Oryctolagus cuniculus: one gene and its partners. The protein of the gene in region 3 interacts with the protein of the main gene of each other region in a pairwise test. Links are inferred from orthologs where the notes say so. Each region holds a gene or a part of one and is shown on either strand. Other genes may lie near its edges. The genes, in order: ISCU, SSC5D and NECAB2.

Region 1 (6,836 bases), on a different chromosome or scaffold from region 3:
ACACACACAGATACACACACTGTTTAGTAACTCAGTTCTCAGGACTCCTGCACTGGGGCTCTCAAGGACAAAGTACACACATCCGCCCTGCCTGGCCAGGGTTGGCCAGGGCGGCCAAGTCCCGGGATTCTGCCAGGAGCAGAATCCGTGAGGAGCCTCTTAGGGGCCTGTGTGAGACAGCAACAGGGGTCGGCCTTTTCTTTTGGTTTTCTTTGCTGGTTTTGCAGGCCCAGGGCCGGGAGCTCTCTGCAGACAACCCCTCTGCCTGCAGGACTGCCCCCTGCTCCCCCTGGGGCAGCCCCGGGCACCAAGTGAGGTGGGCAGGAGCTTGCCTGGGGGAACACAGCCCCAGTGCCTTGGGAACCCTGGTGGTCGGGGGTGGGGGGTGGAATCTCAAGTTAAAGAAAGGCCTGTGCCCGCTTTCGCTCATAGCTCGGAGCCTGCTAATGGCCAGGACCCTGAGCCCAGGGGCCCTGTCTCAGTGCTGAACCTGAGAGTCCCTGCTGACAAATCACATGGGGGCCACGTGAGGCCAGAGCAGGTCAGGTGAGTGCTCCCTTCGCCAACGGAGTTTGCCAGCCGAGGCCGGGCCAGAGGCTGCAGGTGGCACGTGGCCTGGCCAGCACTGCACGACTGCTCCTAAGACTTGGCTCCCTGGCCCGTGTCCCTGCGGGCTGGCTTCCGAGAGGTTGTCAGGGTGACGGGGGCCCTCCCCCCGCTGCGGCCGCTGGGGAAGGGGGCTTTGCAGAGAGGAGGGAGGAGGTGCGCCAGCCCTCCTCACCTCTCCCGGAAGCCTGCGGCAGCCACCGCACCACTGCTCCCGGGGCTGACCCTGCCCTCACCCCCTGTGTTTCCGAGTCCTTACTCCTGCCGCTATGGGGCTTAGGCGGTGGCACCAGCAGGAGGCCCTTCCTCCTTGGGTCCCTGGGGCCGTGCCCTGGAGGTGGTGCTCACAAGGGTTGGCAGCAAAAGCCCAGCTGGCCCAGCCACGCCCTCTGCTTCCTGGCTCAGTGTGAGGCGGCCTCCGAGCACCACTGCCCTGCTCCTGCCGCACCACATGGCTGGCTCCGTGGGGCTGCCCAGCCCTGGACCTGGACCTGCAGACTGGAGGCAAAATCAACCTCTCTTCTCTTCCTAAGTAGCTAGTCCTGGATTTTTTTTTGCCGCAGTGATGTTGACAGCCGATACAGCCCCCAAACACCCAGGGAAAAGTGATCAACAACAAAACATCCACACACCGCCCGACACAGTGTGGAGCAGGCTGGGGTCAACCTTTAGGGAGGGGGGACTGAAATAACACTGTGCGGGTAGCATTTGCGAATGACCTCGTGACGTGTTGTTCCTCTCGGCCACACCTGCCCCTCCGAGAGGCAGGCTGCAGGCGGTGCTGCCAGAGGGCCAAGGAGCCCCAGCCTTACCGTCTTCCCTTTCACCCACTCGGTGGCTAAGGAGCTGGAGGCGATCGCAGAGCCGCAGCCGAAGGTCTTAAACCGGGCGTCCACAATCTTCCCCTTCTCATCCACCTGGATCTGGAGGAAAGAGAGAGGAGGTGACTCCCGGGTCTCCCCCAGAGCTCCGGGCTCGCCGTCCACGCTGCGAGTGAAGGTGCTGGGTACCGGCTGCTTCCGAGACCAGGGATGACGCAGGGGCTGCCGGGGCCAGCGCCCAGGCCTCGCTGCCGCCCCGGCCTGCTCGGGGCTGGGAGGAAGTCGGCCCACCGCTGCTGGGCAGCTGCTGCTCCAGACAGCAGAGGGTTTCCAGTGCGAGTCTCCTGCGGGCACCCACTGCACTGAGGGGCCCCCTCCTGCCCTGTCTCTGTGTTCCTAGGCATGTGAGGTCTCTGGTGGGCTTCCCAGCCCATGAGGAGGGAGGTCCAGGGTACAGCTGCTGTAACCCAAGTGCCAGCGGCTGCCTGCAGGACGCTTCCGATTTGGGCACACGGTTTCCCTTGGATCAGCAAAATTCACAGACCCTTCCAGCTGGCTAACTTGGAGTCTAGGCTGACGCAGCGAGGTGGAACGTGAAGTCAGCTCCCTCCTCCAGAAAAGATCTGCACTGCAGGACAGCAGTAGGAAGGAGTCCCTGCTCAATCCGTTACGACAGGCCTCCTCCCAGAACCAAACGGAACGCGGCGAGAGCGGGGAGCTGCCCGGCCCGTCCGGACCCGTACCTGCAACTTCATGACATCCCCACAAGCGGGGGCCCCCACGAGGCCAGTGCCGACATTTTTGGACGTCTTGTCAAGGGACCCCACGTTTCTGGGGTTTTCATAGTGATCCACAACCTGAAATGAGAAAGTCGGGAAATCGCCACGTTCTCCCCATGACGTCAGCACCCCGCCCCGGGCAGGCGCCCACTGAACACGTCTCCCGTGGGGGAGAGAGAGAGCCTACATTCGCATCAACGAGGGCCCTCTGTGTCACAGGCTCCTCTTCCCCCCAATAAAATCCACTCTCCAAGGAGACGGATCACCATTCAAAACTGTAAAAAACACCACTCATAGCCCAGGGCCACAAGGCTTTCTCGGAAGCCTCCGGGGGGGGGGGGGGGCCGCTGCAGAACGCACAATGCTATCTACCAGAGGTGCTAAAATAATAATAAACAAAACAGCGCCGGGCAATGCCATCACCCGGAGCAGCCGCGCCCCCTAGCGCGAGCCCGCGTCCCTTCTGCACAAAATGTCAACAAAATGCCACCGGAGCCCCGAGCCCACGAAGCAGCCAGCCCCCGCCCCACATCCCACCCGAGGCCTCCCGAGAGAACCACGTCTACTCCAGACTCCGTTCTGAGTTACTGCGTGGTTTTTAGCTGCTTCCCTACAGAGGCAGGCGCACACGTCGGGGTCTTTACGCCCCCGGGGACGCGGCCAGCGGCTGTCAGCCACGGCTCGCTCTCCCTCCCTCGCCAAGAGGCAAAAGCGAACCCCGAGCAGGTGCAGCGACCCCGCCACCGCGACAGCGCGTGCCTAGGACCCCACGCTCACTCTCTCCTGCTGGGGAGCCGCGGGAACAGGGTCGGAGTGCGGCGGCGACTGGCCCAAGGTCACCTGGCCCGGGCAGTGGCCCGAGCCCGCGCCGGGCTGTGTGTGTCCTCGACTCCGAAGGCCAAGCGCACAGGATCCCCGCCCAGGGCCGTGGGCAACGGAGGGGAAGCAACCGGGAGCCGCCTGCTGAGCTGCGTTTATCCATCAGCCGTTCCCGTCACCGCGCAGCGAGGGGAAGTGGGCGGAGGAGCGGGCGCCGATGGCCCCTGCTGCCTCGGCCACTTCCACCTGCCGTGGACGGAAGTGTCGGCTGGGATCCGGGGACGCCTGGGTGCCCTCGGCCGCTCGCGCACCCCTAGGCTCGCCCCTACCTTCTTGTGATAGAGCCGGGCCGGAGCGGACAGCTCCCGGGCGGGCAGGCGCGGGCTCCGCAGCAGCAGGGCCGACGCCGCTCTCCGCAGACGGCCAGCTCCAGCCGCCGCCATCTCTCCGGCGAGCCCCTGAGCCGCCCCAGAGCGACGCCGAGGGGCGGGGCGCGCGCGCGCGTGCGAGTCGGGCTGACGTCAGCGCGCCTGCGCCCGCCCACTCCGTGCGCGCGTCCGCGCTGTGGCCTCGCCTTGGCCACGCCCCTCGGGGGCGGGGCGTGGGAAGCGCGGGAGGGCTTGCTGCGGGGCGTTGGGGTCTGGGTTGGGGTCTGGGGATTCCGCGGCGGCCGGGCTGAGAGGGTGCAAGGCCGCATTCTAGAGGCGGACCCGGTACAACTTTGCAGTGCGCCATTGAGGCTCAGAGTGCTCGCGCGGAGACCTAGGCTCAGTGGGGACAATTGGTGACCCCAGCTCCGGGATCCGCCCCTCCCCGGCTGTGCGCCCTGGGCGGCTGGTGCCAGTTCACCAAGCGTAATCCGTGGTAATTCTAGGACAATTGTTTTAGCCACGCGGCAAATACATATTAAGTGCCGGCGCTAGACAGAGTGGAGGATTTGCACGGAAAGCAAACCCCACCGTTCTGGTCCCTTTACGCTTGGTAATGAGGGAGAAAGGCAGTGAATGAACACACACGCACACACACCAATATTTCCCTACCTCAAAAATGGGACGCTTCTTAAGGAGGAATCAAACACCAATCCCTTATTTTCCAAACAATGTCTAGATTGTATCTCTGTTGAGATCTCCTTACAGAACAGCAAACTCCTAATTTATAGGACAAGGCATGGCAATGAGGAGCCACTAAAGACATGTTTATTCATGGACTCTATTGATGCTGGCTTGCATAAGGCGATGTGATAAAATTGGAAAATTCAAACACTTAACGTCTACCAGGTACGAGGCATTGCATAGAAAGGGAGGCTCTCTTAGGGAAGTGAGTTTGTCCCGTGAATGGTGCAGTCGATCCTTCCCGGAGGATTTGTTTTCTTAGCGTTTGAGCCTCAGTTGCTGGGAGACCGAGCTCCGCTCCGAGTCCGGCTAGGCTTTAAGAAAACATTTATTTACAGGAATCCTTTGACCTTCTCAAGATGGCGCCAAGCCCGTCACTGCAGACACCACGCTCACTCCACGACTTCCTCTATGGCCGCCACTTCCTGTCCAAAGACCCAACTTCTGTCCGGAGTTGTGCCGGAAGACCTGTCATATTAAGGAGCCTTTTCTTCGCCGGAGGTTTCTGAAAGTATATTAAAATAATACGAACTGCGTACTTTTGTCTGTTTTCTTGTCCTCTGAGGCTCCCAGTTTCCCTTTCGGTGGCAAGAAAGCGGGGGTTTTGGTCAGGCGCGCGCCGCGGGCAGCCTCGCCCTCAGCCGGGTCTTCGGCGGCCGAGGGAAGACCCGGGAGTCCCTGAAGCGCAAGATGGCGACGGCGGCTGCATCTTCGGCTTCGGAACCCGAGGCCGAGCCCCAGGCCGGGCCCCAGGCCGAGGGAGAGGAGGATGAGGTCAAGGCGGCCAGGACGAGGAGGAAGGTGTTGTCGCGGGCTGTGGCCGCTGCGACGTCCAAGACCATGGGGCCAGGGTGGGACCAGCCGCAAGAGGAAGGCATGAGCGAGAGCGATGGGGATGAGGAGTACGCCATGGCCTCCTCGGCGGAGAGCTCCCCCGGGGAGTACGAATGGGAGTACGACGAAGAGGACGAGAAGAACCAGCTGGAGATCGAGCGGCTGGAGGAGCAGGTGGGCCCTCGCTCCGGGGCCCCGGCCCGCCCCGCGGTCGCGAAAGCCGGCAGGCCGCCGGGCATCCCCGCAGCTGCGGTCCTGGATCGCCGCCTGCGGCCCTGGTGCTTCGCAGGCGTTGCCCGGTGGAGGCTCGGTGACGGGAGCGGTGCTAGCGCCGCTTCACGCCGGAGGCCGAGGACGGGTCGGGCCGCCGGTACTTTGAGCCGCTCGGAACCGCCCGGGTAAAGTTGGGTCTTGTTAGGATGGAGTCCTTTTCCTGTGGGCATGGTAACGGGGGTCCAGCGCAGCGGGGGAGGGAAGATAGCGGTTGAGACGGTGGTCGCGGGCGCGGAAAGGGGGACAGAGGTTTGCCCCGCTTTTGGTAGCTTGGGCGGAGTGCTTAACGCCCCTGGCCCGGGCTGCCCCGTCTGCCGGTTGGGAAACGTTGTGTCCAGCCCCGAGGGGGTGTAGGGAGTGACCGGTCCCGTCGATGGTTGTGTGCAAAGAGCTCCCGAGATGTGCTGAGAGCTTCGGTCGTTGGTGCACGCTCAGTGTCACAGCAGAGGTTGGGATGGGGGAAGCGGTACGCTAACCTTTCCCCTCCCTCCGAGCTTCTGCTGGGGCGTCCTGCTGGGCAAACCCCCACTGGGCGCCCGGTGCTGGGGGGCCCGGGGCAGGGTGGGGAGCGTGGGGCGCCAGCGAGGCGGGAAGAAGCCGAGGCTTTGCTCCAAGTCGCTCAGAGTGGGGTTTGGACCCTGGCCGGCTCGGGGGTGTGAGGCTGCTCACCCAGGTTCTCACTCAGCCCCGCCCGGGGTCGCTTGGTTGGGATGCCTCCCTAGCACTGATGTTTTTTTTAAGCCCTGGATAGCAGTGCGATCCGTGCCCGGGAGCTGTTCCCAGAGGAACCAGTGGCTCCATTTCTGGTCAGTAGAAACGGCCACTGGTTTTGGTATGCGGAAGCGCAGGTGTCTGATGCAGCGAATACAGGGCGACCCGGGCGCCGCGCGGGCTGTGTTCCCGCCCTCCGACTGCTGGCCCTGGTGCTTGACTGCACTCCTCCACGAGCTGGGGCGGCGGGGCCCCCTGTTTTAGCAGGAGGGGCGTCTTGACACCAGGGCGAGGCTGCTCAGCTCCCTGGGGGCGGAGGAGGGGTCAGAGGCCGCGCCTCCTGTTGCTGGTGCACAGCGGTTGCCCGTCCGGCCTCAGGCCGCCCAGGGTGGGTGTGGAAGGCCCACAAGCTGGGGCCTGGCAGGTGGTCTGAGCTGACGAGGCCTCCGGCTTCGGAAATGAACTTTGCCAGTTTTTCCAACCCTCTCCCCTTCCTCATTCTGACCCCCCGGCCCCTCGTTTTCCTAACTGCCTTGCTGTTGGGGCCGTAATTACCTGTAGCGTGAGATAGACCCCTTAGCACTTGCTGGCTCTGCTTGTGAGTTCTGGCTCTCCTCCCTGAGTGTATTTTATGAAAGCTGTTATTTTTTTAAAAGGTTTATTTATTTTTTTTTAAAGACAGAATTACGGAGAGGCAGGGGTGGGGTGGGGGGAGGTCTTCCATCCATTGGTTCACTCCCTAAATGGCTGCAATGGCCAGAGCTGGGCTGATCCGAAGCCAGGAGCCAGGTGCCTCTTCCGGGTCTCCCATGTGGGTCCAGAGGCCCAACCACTTGGGCCATCCTCCACTGCTTTCCCAGGCAATCAGTAGGGAGCTGGAT
Region 2 (6,836 bases), about 62 Mb from region 3:
GACGTCCTCTTCGAGACGCTGCAGACGGACGAGGGGCTGCAGAGCGTGCTGGTGCTGAGCGGGGCGGACGGGGAGCAGACCCGGCTGTGCGTGCAGGAGGTCGAGACCCTCGCCCCCGGCCTCAGCGAGCCGCCCGCCCCCGGCCCGCCCGGGCAGAAGGTTCTCATCATCCGCAGCGCCCCCGCTAGCGAGCTGCTGGAGGGCAGCGGCGCGGGGGGAGGCGCAGCCACGCTGCAGCTCGTGGCCCCGCCGCCGCCGCCGCCTGGCCCCGCGGCTGCCCCCGCCGGGCTGCCCGCCGCTTCCCCGGCCCAGATGGTACAAGTGGTCCCCGCAGGAGCTGGGCCCGGCGTCGTGCCCCCGCAGGCCCTGCCCTCCATCCAGATCGTGCAGACCCTGCCCTCCGTCCAGCTGGTGCACACGTTTTGAGGCCCCACGGGTGTCCGCGCCCGCCTCACGCAGACCCCGCCTGCAGAGTGCAGGGCCTGCGGGCCAGGCTTGGTTAATAAAGACCGCGGATCTCTTCTCTCTCGCTTTCTTGGGGTGTGGGGGCTGGGGGGAGGGGGACAGCGCCCGGGCTGTGGCCCCGCCTGGGAGCCCGGAGCCGGGACTTGCTTCATGTCCTGGGGCGGGGCACGAGCTCAGCTTCCCTGGCCTTGGGGGGGGGACCCGAACCCCGGTTCTGCCGCTGGTTCGCTGCCAGGCACCCCCCGCCTCCCCCCTGAAGAGGGGGGAAGAGACCCTCGCCCCTCAGAGCCCTGCAAGCCGGGGCTGGGGTGCGGGTCCCCGGGGACCGGAGCTTGGGCGCAGCCCCTCCCGCGAGGGCCCGCGCGCCAATGGGAGCCCGCGCGCTGCCGTCACTGCCCTCCCGCGCCCGTTGCCCGGCGACGCGGGGACGTCGCGCAGGGGCGCGCGCCCACTCCTGCCCGCCGCGGCCGCGGCCCTCTCCCCGGGGCTCGGCGAGGTCACGTGGCAGAGTCACGGCTCGCAGCCTCGGGCCCCATCGGGAGGCCTGGCTGCGGTGGCCGAGGCCGGGAGCCCGCGCCCCCGCCCGCCCCGTTCGGCTCTGACGCCACTTCCGCCGGCGACCCCTGCCCGACCCCGCTCCCCCACACCTCGTGTAAGGTGCTCGCGGGTCCTCCTGCGACGCGAGGGGGCGGGAGACGCCTGCAGGGGCGGGGGTGGGGGCCCTCACGGCGGCCCCTGCGTCGGGGAAGGGTCAGGCGCTGCGCAGTGCTGGGGCCCACGGCCGAGCAGCACGGGGCGCGGGAGTCCCGGGGAACATTCGGGGGCGCCGCGGGCCTGAGTGCCCCGGGAAGCGCTGCTGTCCCCCGCACCCCGGCGGGCGGCCACCTGACGCTGATCTGCTTGTGTCCTCGGCAGGTGCACGACGCCAGCTCCCCGCCCGGGGGCGGGCGCCTGGGGGCCGCCATGGCCCCCAGCCACCTGTCCGTGCGGGAGATGAGGGAGGATGAGAGGCCCCTGGTGCTGGAGATGTTAAAGGTGAGCCCGGGGGCGGGGGCCGGGGTTCGCTGGGAGTGGGCTCAGCCGCCCCGAGCGAGTGTCCTCCGAGGCTGCCTCTTCCCTGGGTCCCCCTGGCTCCCGGCTGCCCTCTACCCTTTGCCAGGGGCTGGCAGCAGCTGGCTGCTGGAGGGCGCAGGCTCTGACGGGCAGGGCCACGGACCTGGATGCCCCCGCCCCCAGCTTCTCACCCATGCAGCCCCCACACCGCCTTCCGCTCCCACCTGGGGCCCCTCCCCCGCCACACACAGTGTGATGGACAGCCGAGGACCCCTCTCCACAGGCCGGCGTCAAGGACACGGAGAACCGGGTGGCCCTCCACGTGCTGACGCGGCCCCCGGCCCTGCTCCTCCTGGCCGCGGCCAGCAGCGGCCTGCGCTTGGTCCTGGCCTCCTTCGCCCTGGCCCTCCTGCTGCCGGTGTTCCTGGCCGTGGCTGCCCTGAAGCTGGGCCTGCGAGCCCGCTGGGGCTCGCTGCCTCCCCCGGGCGGCCTGGGGGGGCCCTGGGTGGCCGTGCGCGGCTCCGGCGACGTGTGCGGGGTCCTGGCCCTGGCCCCCGGCACCAGTGCAGGGGACGGAGCCCGCGTCACCCGCCTTTCTGTCTCCCGCTGGCACCGGCGCCAAGGCGTGGGCAGAAGGCTGCTGGCATTCGCCGAGTCCCGGGCTCGGGCCTGGGCTGGGGGTATGGGGGAGACGCGCGCCCGGCTGGTCGTCCCCGTGGCCGTGGCCGCCTGGGGCGTGGCCAGCATGCTAGAGGGCTGCGGCTACCAGGCAGAGGGTGGCTGGGGCTGCATGGGCTACGCGCTCGTGAGGGACTTCTGCAAGGACCTGTGACCCCCACCCCTGAGTGTCCCCGTGGCCACCGGGAGGATGGGGCGGGGCTGGAAGGTGGCGCCCGCTGCATGCCCGGTGCCCCGTGCGTGACTCCCCAGCACACCTGGGGCTCGGCCGCCGGTCTGTCCGCGTGGTGTCTGGGGGGGTCTGCACTTCTCAGGAATCCCTCTTCCCTCGTGGCTCCTGGGCCACCAGAGGTCACGGACCCACCCCCGCCCCCAGCCCAGGGGCACCTGTGTCCCCAGCCTGCCCCGCCCTCCAGGAAGGGACACCTAGCGGAGTTGGGAGCTGCACAGGACACGGCCAGAGGGGACAGGGCCTCCCGGGGAGAGGGGTGGGGGACACGAGGTGCTGTGGGCAGCGGGCACCCGGCCGCGGCTGGGGAGCTGCGAGGGGCCGCGGCTCTTCCTCCGGACCCAGCCATCTGGTTTCCTACACTGTTTGTTAATAAAGCCCGAAGTGGCCTCCTCTCTCTGATGCCTTTTCCAGTCTGTCTCTGGACCCCCGCCTCCGCCCCCCCCCCCCAGCTTCTGTCTGGCTCCTCCTTCCCCCGAGTTGACATTAATTGTGGGTGTCTGGGGGGAGCGGGGAGGCGGTGAGCTCACAGCAGCCCCGGTCCCTGCCAGTCTCTGAGTCACGCTCCCCATGACTGCATTTTTTCCAGCTCACAGCTGCCTGGTGCAGGGGACGTGTGTGTGTGTGTGTGAGTGTGAGTGTGAGTGCGAGGAGTCTGCGGAGCCCCCTTCCCGCCCCCTCCCCACTCCGGTTCAACGCCTCCGGCCTCAGATGGCCGTCTGAGGGGGTTCACGTTCAATCCCGCCGATGAGGAATGAGGGAGGGAATGGACGGAGCAGTTTTCCATTCTGCTCCCTCTAATCCAGGAAGTCCCTCCTGGTGTCTGGCTACAGGCCCTCTTGCTACCGCTCCCGGAGTCCCAGATCTGCCTGGCCCCTGACCCCAGCAGGGGTCAGAGCCCACTCCCCAGAAGGTCAAGGGAGGAGGCAGGAGAGTGGGTGCCCCGCCCGCGCCCCACGCGTGCACCCGCCTTGCCCCTGCCCGGCAGCCTGCCGTCCCTCGGCTTGGGCCTGCCTGGCCGTCTGCGTGTGGGTGTTAGCCGTTCACCCTCCCCCCGCCCGCCACCCCCCTCCTCCCCATGCCGGAGCCGCTCGCCAGCCCCCTCCCGCCCTCCGGTCCCCTGCCGCCTCCCTGCAGCCTCTCTTCCTCCTGGTGGAGCCTTGGGCCCCTGCCTGCTCCTCCGCGGGTCCGGGCGCCTCCGGCCGGCGCTCCCTCCCTCGCCTCCGCCCTCGCTTGGCTGCCGCCTGCTCCCCTCTCCTGCCCTCCTTCCCCTGTCGCCCCATCCCCTCCCCCGGACTCTGCAAACATGAGGGTCCTGGCCTGCCTCCTCGGTGAGTGACCCTTCCCCTGGGGACTCAGGGGATCCGGGCCCCCACCTCTGACCCCTTAGCACGTCCAGTTTAGGGACTGGGGCTTCCGGGAACCCAGTCCTTGGTGCCTCCAGATAGCCTGGCCACTGGCTGCCCTGCCCGGCCCCTCGGGGACTCAGCCTCCTGAGAACAGAAGGGGCCTGGCCCAAGCCCTGGTCCTGTGGAGGTCACGGGCCATCTGACCTTTGGCCAAGCAGAGCCCCAGGTGCCCAGCCCTGGCCCCAGGCCAGGCGTCCGAGCCCCACCCGTCTCAGGCTTGGTGGCCCTCTGCCCGGGCTCTGGCTCCCAGCTCCCAGCGTGGGTTTCTGGGTCAGAGGCGTGGCTGCTCCGAGAGTGAGTGTGCGTGTGTGTGTGTTTCGGGGTATTCGGGATGAGGCGGGACCCCCGGGGCCTGCCTCTCACGCTGTCCCCCAACCTCTTGCAGTGGTGCTGCTTGGGGTTCGGGCCATTGGTAAGTCCCAGACACTCTCCCCGCAGCTCCACGCCTCCCCGGGTCCAGGCCTGGCCTCCCGCTCCTGCTGGGGGTACCCCCGTTCCACCATGACCAGCACCACTGGGCACCCCAAAGTCTGGCCCCGGCCCCCCGACTGCACCCCACAGGACAGCCTGCACCCCCTACCATCACTCTGACCCCAGACCTCAGGGATGGTCACAGCCTCTCCTCTGCCCCCCAACCAGAGCGGCTGCGCCTGGCCGACGGCCCCCACGGCTGCGCCGGCCGCCTGGAGGTCCGGCACAGCGGGCGCTGGGGCACGGTGTGTGACGACGGGTGGGACCTGCGCGACGCCGCCGTGGCCTGCCGGGAGCTGGGCTGCGGGGGGGCGCTGGCTGCCCCCGGGGGCGCCTTCTTCGGGGAGGGCGCAGGCCCCGTGTGGCTCAGCGAGCTGGCCTGCCGCGGCGGCGAGGGGCACCTGGGCCTCTGCCCCCACCGCGGCTGGAAGGCCCACATCTGCAGCCACGAGGAGGACGCGGGCCTCGTCTGTGCAGGTGAGCGAGCAACCGCCGGAGGCTCCCAGCCCCCGGTCCCCTCCAGAGCCAGGTCTCGCCCTCCATCTGGGACCCCCAACTTAAACCGCTCCTGAGCCCCAGACCCCCCACCCCGTATTTCAGCCCCTGCCCATCTCCCTGGGGACCCCCATGAGCCCTCCGCCCCGGCCACCCTCCTCTCAACCTCTCTCCTGCAGGTCAGCGCGTGGCCGATTCAAGGGACGAATCACCTCCCGCCCCGGACGGGGACCCCTGGCTGGGGCTGCCTGGGGAGCTGAGCCCCAGCTCCGAGGAGCCCCCTGTGACTCATGGTGCGCCCGGAGGACCCCCACCCCGGCTCCACCTCCTGCTTCAGCTGTGGGGGAGGGGACGCACAGGTCCCCAGGCTGGCTCTCCTGGCCCAGGGCGTCCTCTGGCACTGTGGCCCTTGAGAGGGGGCTCCTGGTCCTGTGTGGGGGGACGGGCGGCAGCCCTGCCCCTGACCTCCTGCTGTCTCCCCTCCCAGCCCCCCGCCTGGCCGGAAGCCCCCGGAAGAAGAGCCCCCGGCCACCCAAGCAGGTCAAGTCCACCAGGGCCCCTTTGCTGACGGCTGGGGCCCCCCGACAAGGTGGGTGCCCTGCAGACATGACCTGCACACTGTGAGAGCCCAGGCCCACCGCGCGGGGCCCCGCCTCGGAGCCGCCCCTCCCTGGGACTCAGGGGCCAGCCTGGTCTCCCCTCTTCTTGCCGTCCCTGACGCCTGCCCCATCAGGGATCCTGCCTCAAAGATGGTGGCTATTTCCCCCGAAGGGGCCGGGGGGAAGGCGGACCTCAGACCAGTGCCCGCTCCGGGCCTCGGTTTCCCAGGAGGGGGCTGACTGCTTCTCCTGAGCTGTGGTCAGACCCCTCACGGCCCCTCCCTCCCACCCGTGCCCCCCTCCAGAGCGGCTGCGCCTGGTCTCAGGCCCCCACAGCTGCGCCGGCCGCCTGGAGGTGTTGCATGGCGGGCGCTGGGGCACCGTGTGTGACGACGGGTGGGACCTGCGCGACGCCGCCGTGGCCTGCCGGGAGCTGGGCTGCGGGGCCGCGCTGGCCGCCCCCGGGGGCGCCAGGTTCGGGCCGGGCGCGGGGCCCGTGTGGATGGACGACGTGGGGTGTGGAGGAGGAGAGCAGACCCTACGGGACTGTCCCCGGAGCCCCTGGGGCCGGAGCAACTGTGACCACAGTGAGGACGCCGGGCTGGTGTGCACGGGTAGGTGAGGCTGGCCCCTCCCCCACCTGCAGTCAGGGCCCCCGGGGAAAGGTGCTGGGGCCGGCCACAGTGAGGACGCCGGGCTGGTGTGCACGGGTAGGTGAGGCTGCCCCTCCCCCACCTGCAGTCAGGGCCCCCGGGGAAAGGTGCTGGGGCCGGAGCCGGGGCTCCGCTGCAGGGCCAGGGCTCTGCCAGGGCCAGGGCTCTGCCAGCGTTCCGGATGGAGCCGTAAGGCTAGGAGTGCCCTCCTCAGGGGTTCCCCCAGGGCGAGGAGGCAGGGAGCTGAGGCGGAGGGGGAGGAGTGACCTGGGGGCCGTGATGCCGGAGCAGGGCTCTGCTTCCTGCCGGGGGCTCCTGCCCTCCCTGTTCCTCTGGGACCTGGGATGGGGCCTCCCAGGAGAGCCCCGGGGTGCACCTGCCTGCCCTCCCCCCTTCCCTTCCCATTCCTCCTTCCTTCCACATACGTCCTGCACCGGAAGCCCAGGCAGGCCTCCTGCTCCTGGGCTCCTTAGGCTGCAGGAGCCGCGAGGCTGGCCGACTGCCCCAGTTGCTGCAGGTCTACATGGCCCCAGCTTGCCTTGTGCCAAGCGGACGGCGGGCAGGCACCGTGTCCCCGTCCTCCCGAGCCTCCTGGGGGCCCCACGACATGGACTCGGGCCCCTCTCCCTTCCCAGATGGGGAAACCGAGGCTCCTACAGGGGGCGCTGTGAGCCCCACACCCAGAGCCGAGCAGAGTGGCACACGGGGGTGGGGGGGATGGGCTGTGCACCCAGTGGTTGGAGGGGGAGCAGGCTGCAGAGACGCTTGCTGCGAGGGCCAGGTG
Region 3 (6,736 bases):
TCCCGCCTCTGCCCCTCACTGCCTGCACCCCGTCCCACCCCTGTAGGCACAGAGCCAGGCACCTACCACACAGCTCCTTGGTGTCCACGTGGCTGCAGAGAGAGGAGAGGGGTGTGAGTGTGGTGGCCCCACCCCTCCACAGCTGGTGGGGGGGGGGGACCCTGTGCAGCTTGCTAAAGGCTTCCTGCCGCCCTTTGTCTTCCCGTGCACCCCCAGTGCCCGCACCCCGAGGTGGCTCTGTCCAAGTAGGCGTGGCCAGTACCCACTGCCCCAATTTCCCTTCCAAAGGCTTCCGACCTCCTGGGGAACAGTGGGCTCCAAAGGCAGGGCTAGGGCGGGCCCTGGCTGTCCAGGCCGTCCACACAGCTCCTGGAGAACCCAGCTCAGCCCTGCTCCTCACCCCTAGCCCCTGGGCCCCCCTCCCGACAGCGTAGAGGAGGCTGGCGGCACAGGTGCACACAGCGGCATCAGAGGTGCACCGGGCCAGGAACTGGGGACAGAGTGGTGGTACAGGCTCCGGCAACCTCCCCACCATGTGCCCGAGAGCGCAGGGGCCGGCCCACCCGAGTGTGCTAAGCAGAACCCCGGGGCCAGGGCGCGGGGCTGGACGCGGGGCTGTGCGGGCCGCAGACTGGGAGCTCCGAGTTCTGCAGGAGGCGGCCGCGCAGTTCAGCACCCCAGGCAGCTGATGTCCTCGGCTCACACTTGGCCGGACGCCAGAGCCAACAACGCCAAGGTCTTGGCCTGGCCCTTGTGTGCGGTGAGGCCAGCTGTGGCCCTGGCCAGGCTCGCCGTTGCAGGCAGCACCTCCCGCTGCCCCCCATAAAAGCCAGCAAGTGAGGAGGAACCCATCAGGGGGCAGCGCCTGCACCTGCCAGCCCCCACACAGCCACAGGGACCCTCAGAGCCTCTTCTTTAGTGTCCATCCATAGGCGAGGATCCCACTCCACCTGCCCCTTCCCAGTCCGGCCCAGGCCAGCACTGCCTTCGGCCCCTTGCACGTGGCTTGGTGGCGGCTGCTCGTTCCCTCCTGTCTAGCAAGGGACCCCAGATGATCAGACCTGCCCCAGGCAGCCCCCAGGAACTCTGGTGCCCACCATCCGAGCGGGCCTGAGGAGGGGGACCAGGCAAGGACTCTGCCCCTCCACAGAGTGGGGTGGAGGGGGCATAGGCTGTCGGGGGTGGGGATGCACTTGAACTTGAGCCAGGCTGGGGCCCGTGGTGGGTGTGGAGATGCAGGTCAGGGCGAGATGGGCTGGGAGAGGCTAATGAGGCACAGGTGTGGGCGCTGTGGGGCGGGCTGAGCAAGTCCTAAGCGGAGCTTGGTTTAAAACGGGGGCAGCGTTAGGGAGGCTCCGTGTCGCAGGCAGTGGTGGCGGGGGTCTGCAGGGGCGCTAGCCGCGCAGCCACAGCCACACAGGTGTGCGCGGTGCTGATCCACCTGGGGCCCCGGCCTCGCTCACTTGGTGCTGTCGGAGTCGATGGTGTGAAACAGCGACTCCAGCTCCCGCTCGTCCAGCACGCCGTCGGCAAAGAAGAGCTGGAACTCCTCCAGGGACAGCTTCCCGTCATCTGCAGGGAGCGGGCGCGGCCGTGAGGGGCAGCGGGGGCGGTCCCCGGGACCCCGGGACCCCGGGACCCCAGGCCCAGCTAGCAGGCGGGCCCCTGCCGTCCCCCACCCCGCCAGCAATTAACGGTAAACCCCAGTTCACACGGTGTCTCCCACTCATCCAGCAGTGCCGACCCCCACGAAGGCCGACACAGGGCAGCATCGCCGGCTCATGGACCCTGTCCCGGTGTCGGCCCTACCCGGCGCTCAGCCGTCACTCAGTTCACCCCCAAGCACAAGCTGCTTGACCCAGCCCAAGGTCACGGCGCCACAGCAGGGGGGTCCGACCGGGGGTCCGATGAAGCCCCTCGCCCCACACGGCCGCGTGCCGAGATGCTCGTCCTGCCTGTCCATCAACCCCGGCTGGAGGCTGCGGTCCTGGGAATGGGGCAGGGGAGGCAGAGGGGACAGGGCCTGCCTCCTGTCCCTGTCCCCTCTCCTTGTGTCCCCTCCTCCTGTCCTGCCACTTGCTGGTGCTCCGGGCTGGTCTGACTGCTGGTCCCAGCAGGTCCAGCTCAGGCAGGTGGGGCCTCCCCCAGTTCCCCACAGCCAATGCCCTCCCCTGAAGGCGCTAAGGACGCCTCCCTGGGGACAGCCCTGTGTGTGAGGGACAGCGGAGCTCAGGGGGCCGTGCCATTGCCTGAGCACCCACACATGGCTGACCCATGCGGCCAGAGGGGAAGTCACTCTCAGACTTGCCAGTGCGGCTGCCCCTGCCCGAGGAGGAGAGGGAGGGAGCGCAGACCCGACCCGCCTTCGCCACACCTGTTTTCCCCAGCGCTGTGAGACAGGACACACATGGGCGGGAAGGGAGGCTGGGCACGGGTGCGCCTGGGCCCCCACAGCCCGGCTCAAGTTTCAGGGTCACGGGAGGACACAGGACTTATACCTTCCAAAAACAAGACCAAGAATCAAAATCGGGGCCAACACTGTGGCGTAGCAGGTAAAGCTGCCGCCTGCAGTGCCGGCATCCCATATGGGCGCGGGTTCGAGTCCCGGCTGCTCCACTTTCGACCCAGCTCTCTGCTATGGCCTGGGAAGGCAGTAGAAGATGGCCCAGGTCCTTGGGCCCCTGCACCCACGTGGGAGACCCGGAAGAAGCTCCTGGCTTCGGATCAGCACAGCTCTGGTGTTGCAGCCATTTGGAGAGTGAACCAGCAGATGCAAGACCTCTCTCTCTCTCTCTCTCTGCCTCTCCTCTGTGTAACTCTGACTTTCAAATAAATAAATCTTTTTTAAAAAAGAAACCAAAATAATCCCATGTACAAAAGTCCTCAAAACCACCGTGGGAAGTCCAACACCAGCCGTGCGACCTGTGACCTCCAGAGGGGGCTCCGTGCACTGCACAGAACGCGATACTGCCTGCCCCACCCCCACCTCGGCCCAGCATGGTGCGAACAGGCCTCCCCGAGGGCTCACTCCTCGGTCTCCCCAGTGCCAGGACGCAGGTGGTGTTACCACCCCATTTCACAGAGGGGCCGGGGGCTCGCTCCGGTCCCACGGCAGCAGCCTGAGCCCAGGCCGTCTGGCTCGGGCATCTAACCTCGCGACCCCACCCAGGAGCAGGCTTTTGGGGTGGGGCCGCCACCCGCCCCGCACAGCAGGAGTCCCAGCCAGCCCCAGGCTGCCTCCACCTCCTGCCTGCCCTAGCTCCTCTGGGCCCCTGCCCCCACGCTGCCAGGTCACGTGAGTGACATTTACCGGGAACGCGAAGCCCCATCAGCTAATGAAGCAAAAACCACCACCTGCCCAGGGCTCCGTCCAATTAGACAAGACAAGCAGCCAGCACCTGGCGTCAGCAGAGACCCGAGCAGGCCTCTCTCAGATGTCCCTGCTAATGAGCGCGAGCCCAGCCGCCACGCCCACAGCCTGTTAGGCTCAGGGGAGCTGCCGCCTGCCGCTCAGCCGCCCTTCTGGGTTGGCCCCTGGGCCTTCCCTGGGGACTGGCGTCCACCTCGGCCAGCCAAGGCCGTGTCACAAGAGCCCTCATGCCAGGCCAGCCCCCAGCCCCTGCTCCCCTCCAACTCGACCATGCCCCACCCCCGCTCCCCTGCGGCATCGCATCAGACCCCCTGCAGAGGCCGGCGCTGTGGCACTGGGGCACCGCTTGCGACGCCGCCGGCATCCCAGACAGGCACTGGTTCGAGTCCTGGCTGCTCTACTTCCGATCCCGCTCCCTGCTAATGCGCCTGGGAAAGCAGCAGAGGACGGCCCAAGTGCTGGGGCCCCTGCACCCACGGGGAGACCCCGAGGAAGCTCCTGGCTTTGGCCGGGCTCAGTCTGGAGACTGAACCAGCTGATGGGAGATCTCTCCCTCCATCTCCCTCTAATAAATAAATCATAAAAAAAAATTCAAAGAACCTCCCACGGTCCCTGGCCTGTGTCCAGCAGCCCTGGGACCCGTAGGAGCCTGGCCCTCCCCCTGCCCTGTGCCTGCCCCGCTCTGGCCTCCGCCCCCGCATGCACAGCTGCTCCCACTCCCACACCAGTGTTGAGCTCCAGCTGCTGGATCAGACCCCCCCCCCAAAGCCTCCCCTCTGCCGTCAGGAAGTGGGGGTGGGGGGAGACATCCGCGGAGAACCTGCTCAAGTCCTCCCGCCTGGTAAGCACCTGGCACAGCTGGGAGGGGGGGACTCCCTGAGTGCCCCCCCCCCAACAGCGCCAGGCCTCACACCTGCTGCTGCCCAGCTACCGCCCTCCTCCGAGCCCCCAGGGCCTGCCTGTGGTCTCGCAGCTGTGAGCGGCTGAGCCAGGCTCCGTGCACCGAGAGGAGGGGCCCAGGGTGCCCCCCACAGGCCCTGAGCAGAAAAAGCTCTCCCTCATTGTCACCTCCCAGCCACATCAACCCTGGGGACAACGCCCACCCTGCCCCACCTCCACCCAAGAGGAGGAGGAGGAGGTGGAGGGGCAGGCGAGGCCTCTGTGGGGCGCTGTGCTGGGGGCATGCAAATGCAGCTAGGAAGCAGCAGTTAGGACAGCCCCTGCCAGTGCATAAGGGGGCCAGGACTCCCATTTTGCAGACAGACAAACCAAGGCACACAGCACTGCCAGGATCAGGACTCCCGACTTCAGCGTCCTGTGCTCTTGACCTCTAGGTTCTAGGGTGCCCGAGTCTCCCACCCCCGGCAGCCCAGAAAGGCAACTCACCATTTTTGTCCGCGCGGCGGAAAACCTGCAGAGAAGAGAAGCCGCGTCAGCTCCGCCCAGGCCGGGAGGCGCCCTGCAGGGGCTCCTGACCAAGGCTCCGAGGTCCCTCTTCCCCCCAGAGCAGCTCCAGCCTCTCCGGGACCCAGGGGCAGGGAGGGAGGCTGCAGGCAGAGCCCCCACCCCGCCCGCCGCCCCACACCCTCCTGTGGCACCAGCCTGCCCACAGCCATGCTCAGAGCCGGCGTGCGCCTGCACGCTCACACCCACACGCATCCCCGCAGGTGGCCGGCCGCGGCCCTCCCAGCTCGCCCACTGCCCGGCGCTGGGCACGCAGCCACACGGTGCCTCGGAGAGCCCCTCGCTTTACCAACGCTCTCCTTTCAGAACGCCGCGGGGGTCTCCATGGAGGCTGGGAGCCTCGAAGGCGGTGAGGGAGGATCAGCCATGGGCTGGAGGGCGTTATTTTTGGGTGGGGGAGCTGACAGCAGCAGCCCACCCGGAGCACAGACAGGAGACCCCAGCCTGAACTTCGAGACCAGGCGACACCTGCAGGCGCAGGGCAGAGCCATGGATCACCCTACAAGGTGCAGCACGCGCAGGGCCAGAGCCCAGAAGGGGCTCTAACGCCAGGGTCCCTCCCCTTTGGGCACCAAACACCTGGGCGCCGAACGCTAACACCTGCGGCCACGAAGGCCTTGGTGCACCTGCCGCTCCTGGGCACTTGGGAGAAACCCCGAGGGCTGGGCCGCCGAGTCACAGCCCTCATGGTAACCAGGACCCTGGGGAGGCTTCCCAGTGCCCTGCCGCCTGAGAGGGGTCCCGGGGTTGAAAGCAGCCCCCACCTCAGTCCAGCCAAGACGAACTGAGGCCGGGGGAGGGGCACTGACACCCCCAAATTCCCTGCTGTGTTTGCAGGCAGCAGGGGGTCTGAGCAGGACTGGCGCAGCCGCCGTGTCCTCCTTGGCTAACCGGCACTGGGGGTAGGGGGCTGGGATGGCCCCCGGGACCCTGGCACTGTGGCCCAGGCAGCAGCGCCGGGTCTTCAGCCCACCCAGGCCCCCATGGGAGCCAGCCTGGGCCCACGACCCCCGCTCCTGAGTGCCCAAGCTGCCGTGAGGCTGCGGCCTGACCTGGGCATCCCGGAATCTGGCCGAGGTCCGCGTGTGGCCTGGGTGACCGCTGGCTCCAGCCCCTGCCGGGCACCTCTGCCCCGGTCATCTCCCCCTTGGCAGATGAGGGACAGGAGGCTCCCAGCCCGCCCGCACCCCCATCCCGCAGGGTCTTGGGGCCACCAGCTGCGGGTGAGGGGGCAGCCCCCGGTGCTCCGGTGGGTGGGTTCCTCACACTGGGGCTTGCCTTGCCCTGCCCTGCCCGGCCCTCTCCACCTAGACCGGCCTGGGTTCCAGGAGTGTAGAGAGAGGAGGAAGAGACCCCGGACCCCACTCGCCCACCGGGGGAAACGCCACGCCCCTCCCCAAACCCACGCAGGATGCACCCACGCCCCAGTCCAGCCTCTGCGCTGCCACCCACGGAGAGCCCCCCCCCCCTGCGCCTCCTCCCACTCTGAAGGAGGTGCCCCGGGGTGGGTGGGTGAAGGGTGAGTCTGGGAGACCCCCAAGGGGCACAGAGCCAGCCGGTGGGGAAGTCCCCGGGGACCACGCTCCGGCGCTGTGGAAGGGGAGCCGGAAGAGGGACGTGGGGAGGGGGCTCCACTTTCCAGCAGACGTTGGGGGCCGAGGAGCTGCCGGGACGACAGGAGCAGGGCTCGCAGCCGGAGCTGGGGGCCAGGGCTTCTCCAAAGTAGCACTCGGGGCAGGGACACGGGACGGAGAGAACGAGGGGCCGCGGGTGAGGGTCCCGCTGGGGGAAAGCCGGGGGGCGGTGTCCCAGCGGCTCCGCGTCCCTGCTCCGGGACGGCGCGGATTCGTGGAAGTCGAGGGAGGGGACGGGGTGGGGGTCGTCTCGGTCCCGGGAGGGGGA

The links.
Region 1: the proteins of NECAB2 (region 3) and ISCU interact in binary tests that used the Homo sapiens proteins (3 or more experiments, as listed by UniProt). The two-hybrid records come from large-scale screens. The link is inferred for Oryctolagus cuniculus from reciprocal best matches to the Homo sapiens genes NECAB2 and ISCU.
Region 2: the proteins of NECAB2 (region 3) and SSC5D interact in binary tests that used the Homo sapiens proteins (3 or more experiments, as listed by UniProt). The two-hybrid records come from large-scale screens. The link is inferred for Oryctolagus cuniculus from reciprocal best matches to the Homo sapiens genes NECAB2 and SSC5D.

What each region holds. Positions count from the first base shown.
Region 1 is NC_091452.1:17,762,398-17,769,233, reverse strand, and holds the start of ISCU (iron-sulfur cluster assembly enzyme ISCU), read right to left. Parts: upstream 3,559-6,836; 5' UTR 3,469-3,558; coding exon 3,355-3,468; intron 2,285-3,354; coding exon 2,171-2,284; intron 1,530-2,170; coding exon 1,419-1,529; intron 1-1,418. Other genes in the region: SART3 (squamous cell carcinoma antigen recognized by T-cells 3), read left to right, coding at 4,828-5,145.
Region 2 is NC_091449.1:3,474,205-3,481,040, reverse strand, and holds the start of SSC5D (soluble scavenger receptor cysteine-rich domain-containing protein SSC5D), read left to right. Parts: upstream 1-2,975; 5' UTR 2,976-3,503; coding exon 3,504-3,756; intron 3,757-4,219; coding exon 4,220-4,246; intron 4,247-4,473; coding exon 4,474-4,782; intron 4,783-4,979; coding exon 4,980-5,093; intron 5,094-5,287; coding exon 5,288-5,389; intron 5,390-5,704; coding exon 5,705-6,013; intron 6,014-6,836. Other genes in the region: ZNF628 (zinc finger protein 628), read left to right, coding at 1-426; NAT14 (probable N-acetyltransferase 14), read left to right, coding at 1,429-1,500, 1,802-2,350.
Region 3 is NC_091449.1:65,753,117-65,759,852, reverse strand, and holds part of NECAB2 (N-terminal EF-hand calcium-binding protein 2), read right to left. Parts: intron 4,782-6,736; coding exon 4,757-4,781; intron 1,573-4,756; coding exon 1,464-1,572; intron 93-1,463; coding exon 67-92; intron 1-66. UniProt on the Homo sapiens protein: May act as a signaling scaffold protein that senses intracellular calcium.